Linked DNA regions of Arabidopsis thaliana. The protein of the gene in region 1 binds, or shares a complex with, the protein of each later gene. Each region holds a gene or a part of one and is shown in the gene's direction. Other genes may lie near its edges. The genes, in order: AT1G06450, AT3G58560, AT1G31500 and AT5G11350.

Region 1 (3,916 bases):
AACAGGATTTGGATCAATCAAACGTCCTCTTTCATAAGCCTCTCTGAGAAAGACAGTGTGTCTTTTCCCTTTAGTTGACACATAAAACATGCCCGGGTGATCCAAGAACAAATCTCTTATGTTCAAATCAATCCCAAAACATTTTCTGAAATGGCTGATCTTTTCTACCTCCACCATCTTCTCTACAGTCAGATTCAGGAACTCGTGAGCAATCGCAACCGCTCTTTTCTCTATTCCCATCACACCGGATCTACTCTTCTTCTTACCAACCATGTCCTCGTATGGCCCTACGTAAGGCAGCCTCTGCCATTCCTTAACTTTAGCCTTAAATGTCTTGCTCAGTCTCATTCCTGGTGGGTAACTATGTTTGAAACTAAACTGAATCTCGGTTCTATCGACACTGCAATCCTCCTTAGAACACTCAACCACCCTCCATTTCTCAACCGCGGCCTCAAATTCCAGTCTTTTCTCTTCTTCCTGAACCAGCTCTAAGATATGGGTGTTGGATTCATGACCATCACTAAGCTTAAAAAGATGAGGGTTCTTTGAGATCACAGAGTCCTCAAAATCATCTGGGAGCCCAAGTTCTCTCCAAACCTTAAAAACCGCACGAAGCGGAATGGACTTTGATATGGACATAGACAAGAGCCTAACCAACCGGTCAACAACAAGAGACAAAGTAGCAGTGATAGCCAAAGCCTCTTGGCGAGAAATCTCCATGGCTACATCAGTTAACCTGCAAAAGGGCTCAGCTTTCACAGGATCATACAAGACATGAAAGATGTGAGGATACTTTCGCAGGAAAGAAGCAGCGCCACGATTAAGGTGGAGCTTCTGGGAGAGCCTGGAGAGAAACTCAATGGATAGAGAGGGAGGATCAGCTGTTGGATTGGCGAGGGTAAGGTCTTGTATGGCAATGACCTTGAGAAGGTTCTTGTATTTGTCCATGAGCTTCTCGAAAACAGGGTCTCTTGATCTGGAAGCTACATATTGAGCAGACGTAGTCGTTGATCGGACATTGATGATGGAGCCACCACATGGGTGAACCAGAAGTGATCTCATGAGGAGGAACCTCATAGTATCTCAAAGAGTATATGGAGCTATTTTGAGTTTCCGCGTTCCACAACGTCGCTGTATATACCCACACTCTCTGCGGAATTATATCGAACACCTAACAGGCATTAAGGGAAAAAACGAAATTAAAAAATGAAGTAGAAGAATTATATGGACCTTTGTATTTTCATGTCCAAGACCAAAACACATCTATAAGCGAATCAATTACCGCTATAAAATTTATTTAAACTAATAAAACACATACAATAATAGTTTAGCCTAGTAAATAATTATACTAGTTTGATATCATAAACTTTTGGTATGAGAGGATAAATGCTGTCAAATATAAAGTTTTATAAAACAAAATATTTTAATGTTATGGATAAGTTTTTGACTTACAAAGAATTAAAATGGTATGATGCGATTTCTATAATTAGTGTCAAAGCATCTAATAACAATAACCATTCAAGTTCTTAGTGTTTAAAATCAAAAGTTTAAACACTAATTGATACTCATTTTACATATTAATCTAATACTTGTATTGGAAGTTTTGCCATTATCTATTAATTATATGTAATTTACTTTTTGGGACGGAAAAAGGAAATTGTGGATTGGTTAAAAAGAGAGTAAAAGCACCATATAGTAGCAAAAAGTAAAAGATAACTACAAGAATTTCCTAACTCCTAACGAAAATTAAAAAAGAAGAAGATAATTTCTAAATTAAATTTAACAGAAATTAAATTAACAAATAAAATTATAATCAGAGAGAATATAAACCGTCATGATCAACACCGCGTTAAAATTAATTGGAGAGCAAGCTATTAGCTTAAGCTATGTATCTTTAATTAATTAGAAAAAATCCGAGAAAAAAGGAAACTCAGGTACACGAATTTATTTAAGAAAAGGATAAATACTCTCTTTTTTTTTATAAAGAACCCTAATGCTCTCACACAATCAATCAAACCAAAAAGACTTCTCGTATTCATGCCTCTCCCTCCTAAGAAAAGAACCCTAATTTTTATTATCTGCAGAAATCATCATCATGAACGAGATTCATCAACCGCTGGCGAGGAGAGTATGGAGAAGCAACGTCGATGAAGAGATGGCTCGTATGGCCGAATGTCTCAAGCGATTCCCACTCATCGCTTTCGATACAGAGTACCCTGGCATTATTTTCCGCACTTATTTCGATTCCTCTAGCGACGAATGTTACAGAGCCATGAAAGGTAATGTCGAGAACACCAAGCTGATCCAGTGTGGTTTCACTCTTTTCAACGCCAAGGGAGAGATCGGTGGTGTTTGGGAGATTAACTTCTCCAATTTCGGCGACCCATCAGACACACGCAACGAGCTTTCCATCGAATTCTTGAGGAGGCATGGTTTGGATTTGCAGAAGATTAGAGACGAAGGAGTTGATATGTTCGGCTACGGGTTTTTCCCTAAGCTTATGACTGTGTTTCGTTCTCAGAAACACGTTGAGTTCGTCACTTTCCAAGGAGCTTACGATTTCGCTTACTTCTTGAGTATCCTCAATCATGGCAAGCTACCAGAGACTCACGGCGAGTTTGCAACAGAGGTTGTCAAAGTGTTCGGTCAAGTTTACGACACCAAGGTCATGGCTGGATTCTGTGAAGGACTAGGTGAACACCTCGGGTTAAGCAAACTAGCCCAGCTACTTCAGATCACTCGTGTGGGAAGAGCACATCACGCTGGTTCAGACAGCTTAATGACTGCACTTGTCTTCATCAAGCTTAAACATGTCTATGAAGATTCCAGATTTGCTAGAGGATTGATCTATGGAATTGGGAAAAGCAACCTCGTTGCCGCCCCTGCCCCTGCGCCTGTGCCAGAGCCGACTCTTCCTTTGATGTGCCAGCAGAATGTAGCTTCATATCCTGTGTTCCACAATGGATATGTCCAGAACTATGAGCAGCCTCAGCTTGTCTCCTACGATCCTTCAGGTGCCCCATGGGCGTTCTGTAATGCTACCGGTACGTATGTGCAGCTTACTCATCTACCTGCAAGCACTTTTGCATACCCGTCTCAGACGCCATCTGCTACTGTTGATTATCTTGGACCAGTTCCTAATTATTACAACAATAATGCTTGCTACGTAGTTGAGTAGATTGAGATTTCCCCAGCTTTAGGATGATTAGATGCTTCTGAGCTTTTTTCTTTTTTTTTTCTTTTTCTTTTCTGGCTTTTGGTAGTAGTAATGAAGATTTTATTTTTATATATTTATGGATTGTTTACATGGCTTCACTTTGAGTAATGCCTGTCTACAATCTGTGATATATAAAAGACCAAACTATTTTACATAAAAGACCAAACTTTCTTCATGATTTGATATTTTTCTTTTCCACACAAACTGCTATATCACACACAATGTTTACCGTATCTATATATGGTTTCAGAACGATGAACCCTCAAAGCTTTGGAATTACTATTCTCAGAATCCCATCCCTGTTTCAAACGCAATAATAAATTGGATGTTAGTGCTCTTTATAAAACTTGCTAAATTCTATCTAAACTAATTCAAGCTAATGACTGACTGGCACTAAGATGTAAAATTGGATTCTAAAACGACTACTTTTTAGGTGTGCACTACTAGCTAAAACCTACAGGCAGAATCTATCATATGAACTCTAGGATTGAAAGATTTAAGGAGAATAGTTGTTTGATCATACGGTTAGATTGTTAGTAAGTATAGCTTCTACTTACATAAATTCAGCGGAAACATTATCCTTGTTCACATTGCTGGGGAGTGGCCAGGAAACTTTGAATGGTCCTTGTAGTATTTCTTGCTTATGATATCCAAGGATCGAAGCTTTGGTGCCTGCATCAACTTTTTGACAGATAGATG
Region 2 (6,122 bases), on another chromosome or scaffold:
TTGAAAATCATAATTTTCTAAATATCTATATTATTATATTATCTGTCTCTACCTAATTTGAATATTACAATGAAAATTTGTAAAAAATAAAATATTTTTGACATCATACATATATTTCAAAAAAATATTGTCAGCTAACTCAACAATTGGCCACAAATGCAAGTAAACTAAAAAACATACAACTACTTAACATATATGGATTGTATGATTATACAAGTCGTCAACATCATAAACATATAATCTCGGGTTAAATGGTCGACCAACTCCAGCGTTGATCAGCATTGACCAACAAAATATTCAAAACTAATTATTAGTATTAAAAAAATTAATGTTATTTGATATTGTAAAATACAAAAAAATATATTTATATCCAATATAAATATATTTTGTATATATATATAATGCATTAATTCATATAATATTTACTTTATTTTTTCAATTTCAAAACTAAACTAAGAGAATAAATATTTTTTTAAGATATGAACTATTCATAATAATAATAATAATAGTTAGTTTCTTAAGAAGTTAAATTTTTAATTGCTAAATATTTTTAATCAATAGTTAGTTTTTTCTTATATTATTCGTAAAAAACATTTACTTTGAATTTAAAAATTACCGTGCAAAATTTAGACTAAAAAGTTATATACTCAATTGTTTTTCATATTACTTTCTTATGAAACTTATATAGTCATGTGTATTTGGTTCTGTAATGATTTATTTTCTAATGAATAAAGAAGTTTATATATTTTAATTGATAATACAAAAAAAAGATTCTTTCACTCATATGTTTCTAATAAGATTTTTCTGGTTTTAATTTCAGTTTTTTTTTTGTTTTAAAAATTTTAATCATTTTTTTCATTTTTAGTTTAGTTTTGAAATTAAAAAAAGCTAAATATTTTAAGAATCAATGTATTAAATATATATGCAAAATATTTTTATAGTAGATGTAAAAATTGTTTTTTGATTATAGAATAACTAGTAAAACTAGATTTTTAATATTAAAAATAAAGTAAAAATTTATTTTTGAATATTTTTGTTGGTTAACACCGGTTGACGTTAGAGTTAATTGGTTATTTAACATGAAATTTTATATTTATAATGTTAACTATATAATATTATATACTTGGTTATGCAATCTATATACATCATTTAATTAAGTGTTATTTAGTTTAGTTGACATATATAGTTTGTACTGTATTATATTTTCCGTAAGTTTCAATCTTTTTTATTATAAATAGGTGAATATATGTGTATATAGAAAAAAGAGTATTAAAGACTTTTTGTTTCCCTTTGGAAAATAAAATAAAATAAAAATACGAGTCCATATTTGGTCTTGAACGAGACTTGCGTTCATTCCTAGGGGGATGAACCTCTTTGTTCACCTCCTTTTGCATTAACTAATAAAAATATGTCATGTCAAATCCTATTTAAATTACATAATAAATTGAAGCTATAATTATAATCCAAACCGATATATAATTTCGTTTAATTACAAAATCTAAACCCTAATTCTTCTTTGTAAATCCAAACCGCCATTTAAACTCATTTAGTCGTAAAAAAACTAAACCCTAATCGTATTTTCTAAACCCAAACCGACATTTAACCTTGTTTAATTGTTAAATCTAAACCTGTTAATAAATCTAAACCAATATTTAACCCGTTTAATCATAAAATCTAAACCTTAATCGTACTTTCTAAACCAAAACCGATATTTAATCTCGTTTAATCATAAAATCTAAACCCTAATCGTATTTTCTAAACCCAAATCAATATTTAACCTTGTTTAATTGTAAAATCTAAACCATGATTTTTTCAAATAAACTCAAATCGATATATAATTTTGTTTTTGAGGCAAATTAGATTTTATAATTAAATTAAACTTTTATTATTATTATTAGGTTTTAAATTTTAATGGGCTAAAACAGTGAATATAGAACCCAAGTATTTTTCTTTGGTCTTTGTCCATCTTTGGAAATTAATTTAGTCGTAGCGAACAAATCTATCCCACTCATTGGATTTCAATTTCATAAATTTTAGGTTGTAAAATTCGGGTTTGGAGAAAATTGGGGGTAAATCTAGGGTTCTGGGAAAATTAGGGTTCTGGGAAAATTAGGGTTCATCCATGCTGTCGAGTTTTAGGGTCAAGTAAATGACGGATCCATTAGGATCCGTTTTATATCTTATGCTCTCTCGTCTCAATATATATATTTAAAAATCTCAGCCTTTGGGCTTCGTTAGTGTTGGTTTGCTTTCAGAATTTAACTTAGTTACGGTAAAAGCAATGCTTAGCGTTATACGAGTGCATCTACCGTCGGAGATTCCTATTGTTGGCTGCGAACTTACACCTTACGTACTTCTCCGGCGGCCTGATAAGACCCCCTCCACCGATGATGTGCCTGAGTCAGCCCCGCTTGAAGGTCACTTCTTAAAGTACAGATGGTAAGTCATGCCTGTGGCTTCCTTTTACTCTTAAATCTGCTCCCTTTTACTAGCTTTTGCTCGAGTTTGTTATGGACGACTTTTTTTTACCGAAAGTTTGAGACTTTTCTGTGAATTCCCGGGTATGATTTGTTTAAGTGTTTCTTAGTCAGTTCAAGTCTTTGTTCGTTTGCAAATTTGAGTGTGAAAAATGATTTCTTTAATTGTAAAGTAGGGTTTATAAGTCTCCAGTCTTGTCTTTTGGTTCTGTATTAAAAGATGCATCATCTGTTGCAGGTTTCGAGTACAGAGTGATAAGAAAGTTGCGATTTGTAGTGTGCATCCATCCGAGACGGCAACATTGCAGTGTCTGGGATGTCTAAAGTCTAAAGTTCCTGTTGCCAAAAGCTACCATTGCTCTACTAAGTGCTTTTCGGATGCGTGGCAACATCACCGTGTGTTGCATGAGCGTGCTGCCAGTGCTGCTACAGAAGGAAATGATGAAGAAGAGTTGCCCCGTTTGAATAGCTCAGGGTCTGGATCTGGTGTTCTCAGCACCAGTGTTAGTTTAACGAATGGGTCATCATCAGTTTATCCTTCAGCCATAACTCAAAAGACCGGCGCCGGAGGAGAAACACTTGTTGAGGTTGGACGCTCTAAGACATACACACCAATGGCTGATGATATTTGCCATGTTTTGAAGTTTGAATGTGTAGTAGTCAATGCAGAGACAAAACAGAATGTGGGCCTTTCTTGTACCATATTGACTTCCCGTGTTATCCCAGCTCCATCACCTTCTCCGCGTAGGCTGATCTCTATTAGTGGAACTGATGTTACTGGGCACCTGGATTCTAATGGGCGGCCTTTGTCTATGGGAACATTCACTGTGCTGTCCTACAATATATTGTCTGATACATATGCTAGCAGCGACATATACAGTTACTGCCCCACATGGGCTCTCGCTTGGACATACCGTAGACAGAATTTGTTACGGGAAATTGTCAAGTACCGTGCAGATATAGTTTGTCTACAAGAGGTATGTTAAATATTTATGGCACAAGTTGTACTGACTTGGAAACGTTTCAATTGCTAGTTAATGGATAAATACCTCTCCAATATTTTCGTTTTTCATCTTGCAGGTACAGAATGATCATTTTGAGGAGTTTTTTCTTCCTGAGCTGGATAAACACGGATACCAAGGTCTTTTTAAGAGGAAAACAAATGAGGTTTGCTTCAACGCATCCCCTTGATCTTCCATTACCTTTTCGTGGTCACTTATCTGCAAGATGTACCAACCAGAAAATATTGATTCACTGGATAATTTTAGGTTTTCATCGGTAATACAAACACAATTGATGGGTGCGCTACTTTCTTCAGAAGAGACAGGTTCTCACATGTAAAAAAATATGAGGTATGTCTTAGTTTTCTCCTGTTACCTATCTAATTAGGCCCATTTGCTAAATCATTGGGCTGCTCATCCAGGTTGAGTTCAACAAGGCTGCACAGTCTTTGACTGAGGCTATTATCCCTGTTTCCCAGAAGAAAAATGCTTTGAATCGGTTGGTCAAGGTACTCTGAGATGCTCTATAGTATGATTTCTGTTTTCCGCACATTCTTGGTGATATTTTTTCATGTAAAACTGATTTAGAGTCTTTCTTTTTAGGATAATGTTGCTTTAATAGTTGTACTGGAAGCAAAATTCGGTAGCCAGGCTGCTGACAATCCTGGGAAGCGCCAGCTACTTTGTGTGGTAAGTTGTCCATCTTTTCAATATTGTTCTTTATTGTCAGAGATGATGCTAGAGTTGAAGTTATGTGTTTCCACTTCCTCTTCTCCTTTAAAGGTCTCGAGGTGATCATGTTTTCTCTCTTTTCATGTATTTGATGGGTGCAGGCTAACACGCATGTAAACGTTCCTCATGAATTGAAAGATGTAAAGCTGTGGCAGGTTGGTCTTTATTTCTCATTGTAAAAGAACTCTCAGATTTCGGATTCTTACATCACTATTGATCCATAATGATTCTTGCCCAAATAGGTTCACACATTATTGAAGGGACTGGAGAAAATAGCTGCCAGTGCAGATATTCCAATGCTTGTGTGTGGAGATTTCAACACAGTACCTGCGAGGTCTGGCTGGTTTTCCTATTTGTTATGCCCAAGTAGCAATTGTCAAACTCTATATTAAATTATGATTGTGGTTTCTACCTGAATTAACTTGGAGTTCCTTCTTAATATTTTCAGTGCTCCTCATACACTTCTTGCTGTGGGAAAGGTCGATCCATTGCACCCAGATTTGATGGTTGATCCTCTTGGAATTTTACGTCCTCACAGCAAGCTTACTCATCAGCTGCCACTGGTAATTATCTTTCCCAAAAATGGAAAACAGATGCACAGAATCGTGAAAGGCAGACTTCAATTTTAATTAGAATGGCAACATATGCGTAGACATCATACCTTTGTGACCATTGCAGGTTAGTGCCTACTCACAATTTGCAAAAATGGGAGGCAACGTTATTACTGAGCAGCAACGTAGAAGACTGGATCCTGCATCAAGTGAACCGTTGTTTACCAACTGTACCAGGGACTTTATAGGCACACTTGATTACATATTTTACACAGGTTAACTTAAGTGCTTACTTTCAGGGGTTTTACGCGCCAGTGTTTGCTTTCATCTCAGATTTCTTTTTCATCTGGTAAGCAATTTGCTTTTTGTTTTGTTTCAGCGGACACGCTAACAGTGGAATCGTTGTTGGAACTGTTGGATGAAGAGTCCTTGAGGAAGGACACAGCTCTTCCATCTCCAGAATGGTCTTCTGATCACATTGCACTTTTGGCTGAATTTCGCTGCATGCCCAGGGCCAGACGAAACAATATTTTATAGAGATACTGCAGCTGTAATAACCCGATACCAAAGACTGGTTCCAATGGATATGGTTAAGCTACATGAAGTAGATAGCATGGCCATGTCCCTGGGGTTTCTCCCGCTGGGTTTTTCGCTTGCGTTCTACTCTGTATCACAGTTTTATTTACTGCTTGGTTCGCTTGGCTTTTCTTTCTATAGTTATTTCCTCTTTGCCAGAAAGTTTTGTCTTCACTGGCTTGTGATTGTAACAATGTAAACAATTAGATTCTTCAAGAAAATAGTGACTTCACCTTTTCCATATTAAAATCTGTGTCTTCTATGGTTGCAATCCTCCTTACACTCTTAACCCTACAGCTTAACCATCAATTTTCTAGTCTCTTCACTTGTAGATATCTTGCAGATACTGTGAAAACGAACTGTGAACAACTTGATATATTTTATATGTACCCCTCCAATAACTGAAGATGATCCAAATTCCAAAACTCAAATTTCAATTCAGAAATTAGACATGTTAACCAGTACTCATTATATAATCCTTTTAAATCAAGTTTCTTGCAGACTTAGAACTCTCGAGTATCCCTATAACTAGAGAGGGAAACATATGTGAACAAGAAACAAGTCTTATAAAAAGCCACATTAAGTTCTTACTCTGCTGCATTAACTGATGGCTAGATTCATGGCTTACAATCAAAATCCACAAATGTTGGCTCTATGCATAACAGTAGCAGTAATGTTCCTTGGTGTGAGATCAGAATTGAGTCAGGATATAAAGGGATGTCAGGATGCGATGTCTGATCTCTACTCTTGTCTTCCTTTTGTCACTAACAAAGCTAAAGCACCAG
Region 3 (5,153 bases), 9.3 Mb from region 1:
CTAATTGACCTAGTTACAAAGTGACGAATATATAGCAGAATCTTACCATTGTTCTCAATGAAGTGACTTGGATATATTGGAAACTTGGGAAGTTGAGCTATAGAAACTGTCATTAACCTACTCCAATGCTTCTTCATCAGTATATCTTACCTGCTAAGTGCGGTTCACGTAACAAAGAAAGATGATCTCCACGGAAAATCCCTAAAGAAAGAGAATCTTTCCACTGGATCCCGATGGATGAGTGATGAAGAGACTCGAACAAGGTCTCAAATCTCTCTTTTGAGAAATCGAAACTTTGTATCGAAACGGTACCGTAGATATTATAACCTATCCAATAAGGAGTTCCTCCTATACACACACTTGACAATGGTAGTCGAAAGAACCCATGGAAGGTTTTATCAACAACAACAACCTTCCAACAATCAGATTTGAAATCGTAGATTTCAACACTTAAATTATTAGGACACCGAAACCTAACCATTTTGTAATCATTACAACCACTTGGTGACTCGTTACTAATGTATCCAAGACCATATGCATCGATGGAATGGTCAAACTCAAAGCTATAGCCACATTTGATCCATCTTGCTTCTTTCAACAACGGATTGGAAACTAAAATTTTGGTTCCCATGACCATTAGCAATAGACCATCACAATGAAACATGTTGTGCTCCAATAAATCCGAAGATGAAAGCGGTTTAAAAACCTGAAAATTTAAACTAGGTTTGTTGTTGAAATCCATACCGATACAAGAAATTGTTGAGCACAATGGAGAAACTGTGGCCGGAACGTAATTGAAGACTGTGAATATCGGTTCAAGACCATGCATGTGAGACATGTGCTTGTTGACGAATATCGGTTCTGTGATTAGTGTTTTCCATTGCTTGCATGTCCTCTACCAAATTAGTTTGTAGTATGTCCTTTACCAAATTAGTTTGTAGTATTATATTTGGGTTTGTTATTTTCAATTTAGGGTATATATTTTTATTATTAAAAACTTTTTTGATTCAATTTAATATTAGATTAATGTTTGCTCTCATTTTTATTTGGGGGATTGATACAAATAGTAATAAAAAAAACTTTATTATTTAATTAATTTATAGAGGATTAAAAATTTTATATGCTATTTTGGAAATTTCAAAAAAAAGGTGTCATTTTTTGGAATAATAAAGTTTTTTAGTGTCATTTACGTCAATCCCCTTGTTATATTAATATTGGTGTGAAGCTTTTTGGGAAATATATCTATAATTTCTCATCTTATAAAGTTTTATGCTCAAGTGAGTGTTAGTATGGAAATTTTTAATTCGCAATAGTGTATATTGGTCCGTAATGGTGAATTAGTTAAATATCGATTAATTAGATTTTAGTCTGGTACACAACCATTTATAGACTAAATATCTGACAGTAAATGATTTAGAAACTCATACTAACTTATATAGTTATATATATAGGTGCTTTGGGAATTTTTGAAAATTTTGGGTTTTGGATTTTGACGTTGATTTCGATTGGATTTTTATTTGTTGGAAAGTAAATGAACCTACTAATGACCTATTTTTGGTTCTAAAGTTCCAATAAATAAAATGAAGGCTCACTAACTACTTTAATATAAAGACAGGGAGCAAATGATAATTATCGAATTCTTCACTATTTTATTTGAAAACCCACAAGAGTTTCTTCAATCTAAAGCCAAATTGGGTTAAGTCAATTGTTGTCACTATAGATGTTTAGTTCTACAACTCTGCATCATCTTCCTCGTCCGAATCTTCTTCTTCCCAGGTGGGTTTCTTCGTTTCTGTATCAATCAATATACAGTTTCATTTTCTGTAATCTCAAGTTTCGTATTTAGTAATGCAACTAAATTGATCGTCTCTGTTCATTGTCATTGGGCAATTTCGTTGAGGAATACAATTTGTTTAGAAATTTCTCATCTTTATATTGGAACCAATCCTCTAGAATCTCGAATTTATCTGGGCTGTAATTGAAATTTTATGGGGAATTAAATCAGCTTCTTAATTTTGACCTAAATATTGATGTTCAAGGATTGTTTTTTTTCCTGACCCTTTGATTCAACAGCTCTCGTGTCTGCAGGAAAGTTATTTCGAGAAGAATGAGTACGAATCCTGCAATTGAACCAAAAGTTCGCAAATTTGAATCTGTTGAAGGAGTTGATATTGGTTCAAGAAATAAATCCGATGGTTTTTTTGCTATTCCTCTTTACTTATCAAAGCTTGTGGCTTTATATAACTGTATAAGTTTAAGTAGAATTGGTACTAGTAATGAGAATTTTGTGTTTTCAGGTATCAGATTCCGTCTTGTTTCATATAACATATTAGCTCAGGTAAGAAATAATCAAGCTTTTTAATCTCTCATATGCTTTGTGATATTTTGTAGCTTAATATTTGGACGAATTTTGTAGTTTTAAACGATCTTACGAATTTCTGAGCTTGATTTATAGATACAGACAGTTCTTTTAGCTCTTTCCTTTGTTGAGTTTCTTATCTATTTGAGCTTTATATTTCTTGTAGGTTTATGTGAAGAGTGCACTTCTCCCACACTCTCCACCTGCCTGTCTCAAGTAATTATTTTTCTCTACATTTCTCAGTTTCGAGATCAAATTTACTTATACTAGTCAAGAGTTCTTTCTGTGAGTTGTGTAATCAATGGCCTGGAGTATAGTCAAGATTTGCTTCAGAAAACAACAATGGATTCTATGAATGTTTAGGAACTTAGCTATAAGCAGGCAATATTGTGTTTGGTCTTACCCACGTTAATTATCCATTACCCAATATGTACTTTGGATTTAGCGATATATTAACTTTGTTAAAATATTAGGGAATGGTGCTTCTTAAAGGGTTATGGTTTTGTAGTAAATGTGACTTGGTCTTCCTTTTCTTGTGTTGCAGATGGAAAGCTCGTTCACATGCAATTCTCAGCGTTCTCAAAAATCTCCAGGCTGATTTCTTTTGTCTGCAGGTACTTTATTCTTGTGAAAACTTCTTCTTTTGTGTTTAGGTAGTATTGAGATACCCTTTTCGTATGAAACACAAAATTCATTCTTCTCTTTTGTTCAATCCATTAGACAAGCTCAGGCCTGTAAAAATGTTAGTGTTGTTTGTTCATAGGGCCTTTGAATTGTGTTTAACAAAAGGGTGTCTCCACTTGTTAGTTATATAGTTGCAATGCTCGCAGGAAGTAGATGAGTACGATAGCTTTTACAGAAATAACATGGACTCTCTGGGATATTCTGGGATTTATATTCAGAGAACCGGCCAGAGGAAGCGTGATGGTTGTGCAATCTTCTACAAGCCAAGCTGGTATGATAAAAACATTAAGCCTGACAAGACGTTAACTTAATGCAAAAACATCAATCTGATTGAAACAACACTCTTCTTTTGATTTAGTGCAGAGTTAGTCACAAAGGAACGGATCGAATATAATGATCTTGTGGACTCAATAAAAGCAGATAGTGTTTCCTGCAGCGAACAGAAGATTGAGACATCCAACGAAGGAAAAGGTGATGAGAAAGCGAAAGATAAATTTGTCCTTTTGGAGGAAAAGAAAGCAAATACTTTGTGCTGTTTCTTTATATCTCAACATCATTACTAACTTTTATCTATGTTCTCTTCACATGTTTCCACAAATCTGCCCCAAACAAAAGATTCTCGAAAAGACAGTCGTGACCTTAATGATCCACTAGTGAGACTAAAACGTGATTGCGTTGGAATAATGGCTGCTTTTAGGATCAACAAGCCGTTTCAGCATATCGTTATCGTGGCAAACACACATCTTTACTGGTAAAAATACTTGTCACCGATTGAAGATTATCTTTTACCACCCTTTAAACTTTCATCTCATGTTTACTTATCTCTAGGGACCCTGAATTGGCTGATGTCAAGCTTGCTCAAGCCAAGTATCTACTGTCACGACTAGCTCAGTTCAAAACACTAATATCAGATGAATTTGAGTGCACACCTTCATTGCTACTAGCTGGCGACTTCAATTCAATTCCTGGGGATATGGTTTGATTCAGTTTCTTACATTGAGTTTCCCTAATTGTTCAATCTATTTGCAAAATCAAAAGATTGGGTTTACGGTGGTAAAATCCTGATACTTGTCGTCGTTTTCCAGGTTTATAGTTACCTAGTATCGGGTAATGCTAAACCCACAGAGACCATAGAAGAAGAAGAAGCTCCAGTTCCTCTGTCTAGTGTCTATGAAGTCACAAGAGGAGAGCCTAAGTTCACAAATTGCACTCCTGGCTTCACAAACACACTTGACTACATCTTCATCTCTCCTTCAGACTTCATTAAACCTGTGAGTATCCTTCAACTACCTGAGCCGGATTCTCCAGATGTTGTCGGTTTCTTACCGAATCATCATCACCCGAGTGATCATTTACCTATAGGAGCTGAGTTTGAGATTCGTCGGGAATAGGAAGTTTCGTTCTTTAGAAAGTTTTGTCGCATAACTCCATTGTTTCAGCATTTGAATATGGTTCTTGTAGAAATCATGAAGCAGTGAATCATACACACACAACACAAAGTATTAAAGGACTTGGATCATTTTTGTCTCAATAAACTCGAAATTTTCGTTGTGTGCATTGAATTACTGAGAATATTTGAATTTTCTTGAGAAGAAATTGTTTAATGTGTCTTGTTTATTGCACTCATAAAATAACATAAGAATTGGTTCTATTATTCTGTAGTCAACTAGACAAAAACAATAGAAGATTTAGTGAAATGACATGTTAATATCATATGATGATCTCGTTTCAATTTGTTGAATAAAGTTGCAACAAAATTAGGTCAAGCATTGATCTGTTTTATCTATCAACCACTAAAGTTTGTACTATCGCACCAACTTATAATAATAAATCATAATTTTGAGTACGAACGAATATTCTTTTACAGTCTCACCTTTCACCGATAATTTGAACCATTGTTATTGAATAAAGTCGTACTCTTCAAACTTTTATCCAAAATGACAGTGATGTAATGTTATGTTCCAAAAACATAAGATTTTTTCAAAACGGATAGTGATCATTCCTTTGAATATATAATCACAAACAACCGAACAAAAATATTATATTTTCTATGCTTATTATATGTTCTTATAAATAAATATCATTTAGCATAAGCTTCCCTTGAGAACCT
Region 4 (6,254 bases), on another chromosome or scaffold:
TTTGTTTAGTTGGTTCACTGGTCATTGTAATAGGTGTGATTATCTGTGTCTTCTCTTTTGTTCGGTTCCGTGAATTTATTTGACTGAGCCATGTTTTATTTAGGTTCAGTACTAGTGTCTGATACTAGGAAGAAGATGATTTTATCGGTAATATTGGTAGAAGCCTTCTTTCTAAGCCTTGAATGGATCGATTTTGTTTGCTTTCTATTGTCTGTTGTTTCGTAATTACCGATTCATGTTTGAACTTTGTGGTTGATGACATTGATGTTGACAAAGTATCATCTTGATCGTTGTTTTAAGTTGTTTGACTATATGAATACTGCATTCTTTTGTTCAACCAAGCAAAATTTTTTGTATGTTAAGCATGTGTACCTTGTAATCTATCGCTGATTGACTTATATTATCTTTCGAGAACATGGTCCAAGACTAATTTTCGTATTCACAGAATTTTTTCAAGCTCACTTTTGTGAAACCCTTGGTTGGAACATCTTTTGCGTCAACTAGTTCTTTAAATGTACAATAAGATGTGATTATGAAAGTCTAAAGACTGTTAACAACGTCTTAAATTTGGTACTAACTATTTCATTGCAGTTGCTTGGGTAGTTATGTTCTTGGTGTTACATATATTTTCTCTAATTTGTGATCAAGGAAAATTCTTCATGTTCTAATAATGGATTGACTTCCTCTCAGCATATTACAATGACATATGTGTTGGAGCTATCGCCTGTCGGCTGGAGAAGAAAGAAAGTGGGGCCATGCGAGTTTATATAATGACGCTTGGTGTTCTTGCACCCTACCGTGGGATTGGCATTGGTAAGTCATAAATCTGCTGTGCAAAACTTGAATACCGACAAAACATGAATAATGAAGAAAACTGTTAGCATGTTGTGTAATTCTGTTGTTTTCCTTACGTTTTAACACATGAGGCCAGCTGTAGTATGTTTATTCTGTAGTTCTCTATTTGAAGTGTCTCCATTTAGAGATTCAAACCACCAAGAAATAGTCCTTAGGGTTTTATGCATATCGTTGTTTTACCGAGAAACTGGAATTATGATTCCTCCTATATCAAGATTTAAGATCGAATTCCCTGCTTTAGAAAGAAAAACTCGATGTCTATAATTTGTGTATCTTGTTTTTTTCGTCTTTTGCAGGCTCAAATCTATTGAATCATGTTCTTGACATGTGCTCCAAGCAAAACATGTGTGAGATATACTTGCATGTGCAGACAAACAACGAAGACGCAATCAAGTTCTACAAGAAGTTCGGCTTTGAGATCACAGATACCATACAAAACTATTACATCAACATTGAGCCAAGAGATTGCTACGTTGTCAGCAAGTCCTTTGCTCAATCTGAAGCCAACAAATGATGAAAAATACCAAACTTGGGGAAGCCATTCCTCCCCAGTTTCTTTGTTGCATTCAGTTCAAGATCTATTAATGTTATGATGATCCTTCGGTTTCCGAGTTTTGCTTGTTTTGTTGACCTTAATTTTTCTTACTGATTCTAAATTTATAAATTCCTGGTTATATACTTGCATGATTTCTCTAATGTCCTCTTGGCTTTGGACATTTTCGTTTGGAAAAGTTTTTAACTTTGCAACTCAAAGCTTTACTACCAAGTATCATCGTGTTTGTAAATGTTGGTCTATGAATTTGAGTAAAGAGAGACAATGATTCTTGTTATGAGCTGTAGAATAAAGTAAAGAAAAAAATGAAGAATTTATGACTTGCGTTTTGGCTTGCGTGCCATTTATTCACAGTGAAGACTGGAAGATGTGTTCTTCTTGAATCAAAAAACGGCACGTCTTATGAGTCTCCGTTCATCGGTGTCTGCAATTAAGCACCGGTTCCTCGAGCTTCCTCACTCAATTCGATTGACCAATGCGGCGTTCTCGTTTTGTTGCTCAAGTTTTCTCCGACGTTACCTTCGCTGACGCCTCCACTATCTCTGCTCCAATCTTCACCATGTCTACTCGTGCTCCGGTAAATTTTCTCAGCTATTCTCTTGTTCTATCACTCCCGCTGCGTTGCTTCGGTTACTGGAATATAATTTGTTTCTTACGAAGCAGTACAGAGGTGCCCGAGGACGAGGACGAGGCCGAGGTGGGAGAAGTTTCTCCGATCGTCCGTACAATGATGACGCGGGAAGAGATCAGTTCGTTACTGGAGATTCTCATTTTCAATCAGTTCATGACGCCAATTTCCGATTCCGGCATGGTGAACCTTATCGACAACATCAGCCTCCGCTTGATCAGCGGCAGCAACCACCGTTCAATCAGAATTACGAATTTCGACCTCCGCCGCCGTCACGAGGTCAGTGGCAACAATTCCGTCAACCTAATCAGTTTCCGTCTAATCAAAACTACGCGGCTTGCCCTCCCCCTCCGTTCTATCAAAACCAGATGTCCCGGCCGCCTCCACAGCAGAGCTTTCGTCAACGGCCACGGTCAAAACCTTCAGATTACCGTGAATGGGAATATGCCAAAACGCCACCGTCTCCTGGCTCCGGTAATTTATGCGTGACCATCTCATTTGCTCCGGTATACAATTTTTGATTTGCTTTCTCTTGTCTACAGAAAAGTTTGTTGTTTTATCGTATAATATATTGGCGGATTACCTTGCAAATGATCACTGGAGAAGTCTTTACTTTCACATACCGAGGAATATGTTGAGTTGGGGATGGAGAAAGAGCAAATTAGTGTTCGAGCTTAGCCTATGGTCTGCAGATATAATGTGCCTTCAGGTTATAGTTTCTGCTATATCTTCTTGGTAATTGCTTGTATGAGGGACTAAGGAGACAAAACTTTCTTGCTTTACTATTTTTTTATCATATGTATACAGAATGTATCTTCCATATGTATAGTAATCTAAAATTATTTTGTATATGTCAGGAAGTTGATAAATTTCAGGACTTAGAGGAGGAGATGAAGCACCGGGGATATAGTGCTATTTGGAAGGTAGGTTTGTTGAAAACTTTTAGTTGTCTTGAGTTTGTATTCTCTACGGACTCTCTTGGAGTAAAGATTAAATGGTATGCATCATAAGAACTAGGCTTCAAATGTGGGGTTAACTCTATTTTATAAAACTGTAGATGCGGACTGGTAATGCTGTTGACGGATGTGCAATATTTTGGCGATCCAATAGGTTTGATTCCCTTGCTCTTCCTTGTGTGGATCAGTCTGGAATCTTGTTTAGGATTTCATTGTTATCATATTAGATTCAAGTTGGTTCACGAGGAAAGCATCCAGTTCAATCAACTTGGTCTCCGAGATAACGTTGCTCAAATATGTGTGCTTGAGGTAATATGGATACCTTATGTTGATAGTGACTTATATACATTTGCCTCTTTGCCCTAAATTAAATTTGCTCTGTGTAGACATTGTTGACTTCACATACAAAAGAAAATGAGACCCCTCCACCTGAAAGGTAACTTAAAAGTATCTGTAAATGTTACTATCATATCATTTTATGGGTGGATAATTTCACTAGGAAGTGGCCGATTTTCTTCAGATTTCAGTGGTTTTCTGTATGGACTATACTTTGTGGGTGGGTTGAAGTGAATTACCAATTTCTTTTACAGCTCTGCTGGTTCCCATCGAGTTGTCATTTGTAACATTCACGTGCTTTTTAATCCTAAAAGAGGAGACTTTAAACTTGGTCAGGTACTTTCCTTTAATGCCATATTCTAGTTTGTAGAAATCTTTTGCCAAACGACAGTTTTACTCTCTGGTTTAACTCTGTCTATACGCTATGAACATGTATAAGTGTTAGGTGTTTGAGATAAAACTTTTGAAACCAAACGCTTCGCCCCTTGCTTAACTTGGTTTCTTTAACTGTTTCCATTTATCATCTATGTATTTATCTCTGTTACGTAGGTCAGAACACTCTTAGATAAAGCTCATGCTGTTTCAAAACTCTGGGATGATGCGCCTATTGTTCTTTGTGGGGATTTCAATTGTACACCAAAGGTAGGACAATCTTACCTTAACCAGTTTGTATACCCCAAAAAACTTGTTTTGTGACATGGTCATAACATTCTTCCACCTGGTTGCAGAGTCCTTTGTACAACTTTATTTCAGACCGGAAGGTAAAGCTTCATTGTTAGGAAAGTCCTTCACCTATTCGCAACATTATATATATGGTTCACATTGTGTCTTGTGCTGCTCTCTGCAGTTGGATTTGTCTGGTTTGGCCAGAGACAAAGTTTCGGGGCAAGTTTCTGCTGAGTTTCGTCCACCAAGGCCAGAAAATTATACAACGAGGTAGAGCAAACTCACCAAGTTCTTCGACATCATTAAGTATATGGTTATGCAACTTAACACCTCCATGTCTACCCTAGAATATCGGGTTCTACTCTGCTTTTGCAATTGTCAGCATGGTTGATAGGCCTCCTCAATTTTCCAGGTATCAGTCCGCCAACAAATCTCCACAAGGTCAAGTTCAACCACCAAATTTGATCACAAATGCTCATATGGAGAATAACTCCAACATAGATGTTGGAACGGCCCCCTCCGAGAAGACATCTGAGCTTCCATGTGGTGATACAATTCTTGCTGGTCACGAAGCCACCTCCAGCTCTGACCAAGTATTACCATGCGAGAATATGGCCTCAGATTGTCAGTTTGGAATAGAAAACAGAAAACCTGATGATTCCGGGAATCTCTCGACAGCTGAAGATCTTTCTTCACTAACCATATCAGATACAGAACCTCAACATGCTTCCAGTGCTAGAGAAGATTTGAATACAGATCGTTCTGTAAGTTCCGGTTTATCAGAAACAGAGCAAACTCCTGAGGAAATATGTTCCAGTGATCAAGATATTTCATCTAGTCTCTCCACCAAGGTTGACACTTTTGTGGCTGAAATGAAACTAGATGGCTTAAAATTGGACGAACCAGTAGTATTCGCGCAAGATGAAGAAAGTTTAGGTGAAGATGGGGAAACCTTTTTGGCTAAGCTACACGATAACAATGAAAACTTGAGTCAAAAAGGGGAACTTGTGAGTGAAGTTCCACTTAAATGGAGTTCTGAAGCTTTAAATAGTGACAAAATCACTTATAGTCCATCCTCTTGGACTCCAATGGAGATAGCAACTGCAACTGGTGACCCAGAGAGAACTACGGTTGAACATGCTCTGGAGCTTAAAAGCACATACTCAGAAGTGGAGGTATTGTAATATATCCTCCCTACAGTTTTTCCCTTTTATCTTCTGTTTCTTGAGAAATTATATCCTTAGGAAGCTGTTGAAATTTGTGGTTAGGGTCAAGCAAACACAAGGGATGAAAACGGAGAACCTGTAGTGACCAGTTATCACAGATGTTTCATGGGGACAGTTGACTACATATGGTATTAGCATTAGAAGCAAAACCATTTGTGACAAACCTTAAAATTAGATTACTTCATTATTGTAAATTATGCGCGTTTTGACATATTCTCATGTTTGATTTCTGGTTTGGGTTAGGCGGTCGGAAGGTCTTCAAACAGTGCGTGTGCTTGCTCCAATACCAAAGCAAGCAATGCAGTGGACTCCAGGCTTCCCGACTCCTGTAAAATCCCATGATATTCTTATATAGCCTACCTTTTTAACTGAATTGTTTACAAAACTTTTTTATGTTTGTATTTCTGGTTTGTTACAGAAATGGGGAAGCGATCACATTGCACTGGTTTCAGAGTTGGCCTTCTGCAGCAGCAAAACTCTGCCCAAAAGCTGATATTAAACTGGTGGTGAGTTCATTAGAAATCTAAGAAAGTGTAAAGAGATTAGATGGTTGAGGTCTTGGGTTCAAAGCACATCCTTGTTGCAATGTTTGTGCTCTGAAGGTCGCCAATAGCTTATTTTATATCCCAGCAAAACATCTAAGAGTAAACTTTTACAGAATCTCATAGGCTCTAGTTTTGTATTTTTCTCTATCATATTTTACAGTGACAAATTATATTTGAGTTTTTCTTTTTGGGCGACACTCGATTTCAGAAAATCTGCTATAAAAGTTTAAAGCATGCTTCTTGATTTTAAATAGCTTCAATTGTTAACCCCTAACTCTTTCAGCTTTAGTCTAGACTGACTCTTTCAATTATTACAAATAAACACCTAGCATTTATCCATGTCCCTGTGTCCAATATAAGGACATCTCACATTAGGACCTAATCCCTGCAATATAATTCAGAGCATCCAAAACTTCTTGCATCAATGGTCGTTTCTTCTTGTCCCGATTGGTGCATCTTTGGATGAGTGTGACAATCTTTGTGGCCGCA

The links.
Region 2: AT1G06450 (region 1) and AT3G58560 share a complex: the UniProt entries of both Arabidopsis thaliana proteins name them as parts of the CCR4-NOT complex.
Region 3: AT1G06450 (region 1) and AT1G31500 share a complex: the UniProt entries of both Arabidopsis thaliana proteins name them as parts of the CCR4-NOT complex.
Region 4: AT1G06450 (region 1) and AT5G11350 share a complex: the UniProt entries of both Arabidopsis thaliana proteins name them as parts of the CCR4-NOT complex.

What each region holds. Positions count from the first base shown.
Region 1 is NC_003070.9:1,963,829-1,967,744, forward strand, and holds AT1G06450 (Polynucleotidyl transferase, ribonuclease H-like superfamily protein), read left to right. Parts: upstream 1-2,011; 5' UTR 2,012-2,095; coding exon 2,096-3,178; 3' UTR 3,179-3,391; downstream 3,392-3,916. Other genes in the region: AT1G06440 (Ubiquitin carboxyl-terminal hydrolase family protein), read right to left, coding at 1-1,077; ACD32.1 (alpha-crystallin domain 32.1), read right to left, coding at 3,480-3,516, 3,775-3,916. UniProt on the Arabidopsis thaliana protein: Ubiquitous transcription factor required for a diverse set of processes. It is a component of the CCR4 complex involved in the control of gene expression.
Region 2 is NC_003074.8:21,650,056-21,656,177, reverse strand, and holds AT3G58560 (DNAse I-like superfamily protein), read left to right. Parts: upstream 1-1,977; 5' UTR 1,978-2,281; coding exon 2,282-2,439; intron 2,440-2,715; coding exon 2,716-3,454; intron 3,455-3,557; coding exon 3,558-3,644; intron 3,645-3,745; coding exon 3,746-3,829; intron 3,830-3,900; coding exon 3,901-3,987; intron 3,988-4,081; coding exon 4,082-4,168; intron 4,169-4,311; coding exon 4,312-4,365; intron 4,366-4,452; coding exon 4,453-4,544; intron 4,545-4,658; coding exon 4,659-4,773; intron 4,774-4,888; coding exon 4,889-5,036; intron 5,037-5,140; coding exon 5,141-5,298; 3' UTR 5,299-5,613; downstream 5,614-6,122. Other genes in the region: AT3G58550 (Bifunctional inhibitor/lipid-transfer protein/seed storage 2S albumin superfamily protein), read left to right, coding at 5,945-6,122. UniProt on the Arabidopsis thaliana protein: Acts as a catalytic component of the CCR4-NOT core complex, which in the nucleus seems to be a general transcription factor, and in the cytoplasm the major mRNA deadenylase involved in mRNA turnover.
Region 3 is NC_003070.9:11,273,102-11,278,254, reverse strand, and holds AT1G31500 (DNAse I-like superfamily protein), read left to right. Parts: upstream 1-1,626; 5' UTR 1,627-1,720; coding exon 1,721-1,776; exon of another isoform or gene 1,777-1,780; intron 1,781-2,073; coding exon 2,074-2,338; intron 2,339-2,525; coding exon 2,526-2,575; intron 2,576-2,903; coding exon 2,904-2,973; intron 2,974-3,189; coding exon 3,190-3,314; intron 3,315-3,401; coding exon 3,402-3,514; intron 3,515-3,658; coding exon 3,659-3,794; intron 3,795-3,871; coding exon 3,872-4,019; coding exon of another isoform or gene 4,020-4,025; exon of another isoform or gene 4,026-4,128; coding exon 4,129-4,434; 3' UTR 4,435-4,653; downstream 4,654-5,153. Other genes in the region: AT1G31510 (F-box associated ubiquitination effector family protein), read right to left, coding at 47-106, 151-838. UniProt on the Arabidopsis thaliana protein: Acts as a catalytic component of the CCR4-NOT core complex, which in the nucleus seems to be a general transcription factor, and in the cytoplasm the major mRNA deadenylase involved in mRNA turnover.
Region 4 is NC_003076.8:3,619,700-3,625,953, forward strand, and holds AT5G11350 (DNAse I-like superfamily protein), read left to right. Parts: upstream 1-1,819; 5' UTR 1,820-1,883; coding exon 1,884-1,985; intron 1,986-2,068; coding exon 2,069-2,510; exon of another isoform or gene 2,511-2,517; coding exon of another isoform or gene 2,518-2,578; coding exon 2,579-2,745; intron 2,746-2,893; coding exon 2,894-2,959; intron 2,960-3,093; coding exon 3,094-3,146; intron 3,147-3,219; coding exon 3,220-3,301; intron 3,302-3,378; coding exon 3,379-3,428; intron 3,429-3,582; coding exon 3,583-3,664; intron 3,665-3,877; coding exon 3,878-3,970; intron 3,971-4,056; coding exon 4,057-4,089; intron 4,090-4,175; coding exon 4,176-4,264; intron 4,265-4,406; coding exon 4,407-5,169; intron 5,170-5,262; coding exon 5,263-5,348; coding exon of another isoform or gene 5,349-5,355; intron 5,356-5,463; coding exon 5,464-5,548; coding exon of another isoform or gene 5,549-5,575; intron 5,576-5,638; coding exon 5,639-5,713; downstream 5,714-6,254. Other genes in the region: AT5G11340 (Acyl-CoA N-acyltransferases (NAT) superfamily protein), read left to right, coding at 691-813, 1,152-1,369; AT5G11360 (Interleukin-1 receptor-associated kinase 4 protein), read right to left, coding at 6,137-6,254. UniProt on the Arabidopsis thaliana protein: Acts as a catalytic component of the CCR4-NOT core complex, which in the nucleus seems to be a general transcription factor, and in the cytoplasm the major mRNA deadenylase involved in mRNA turnover.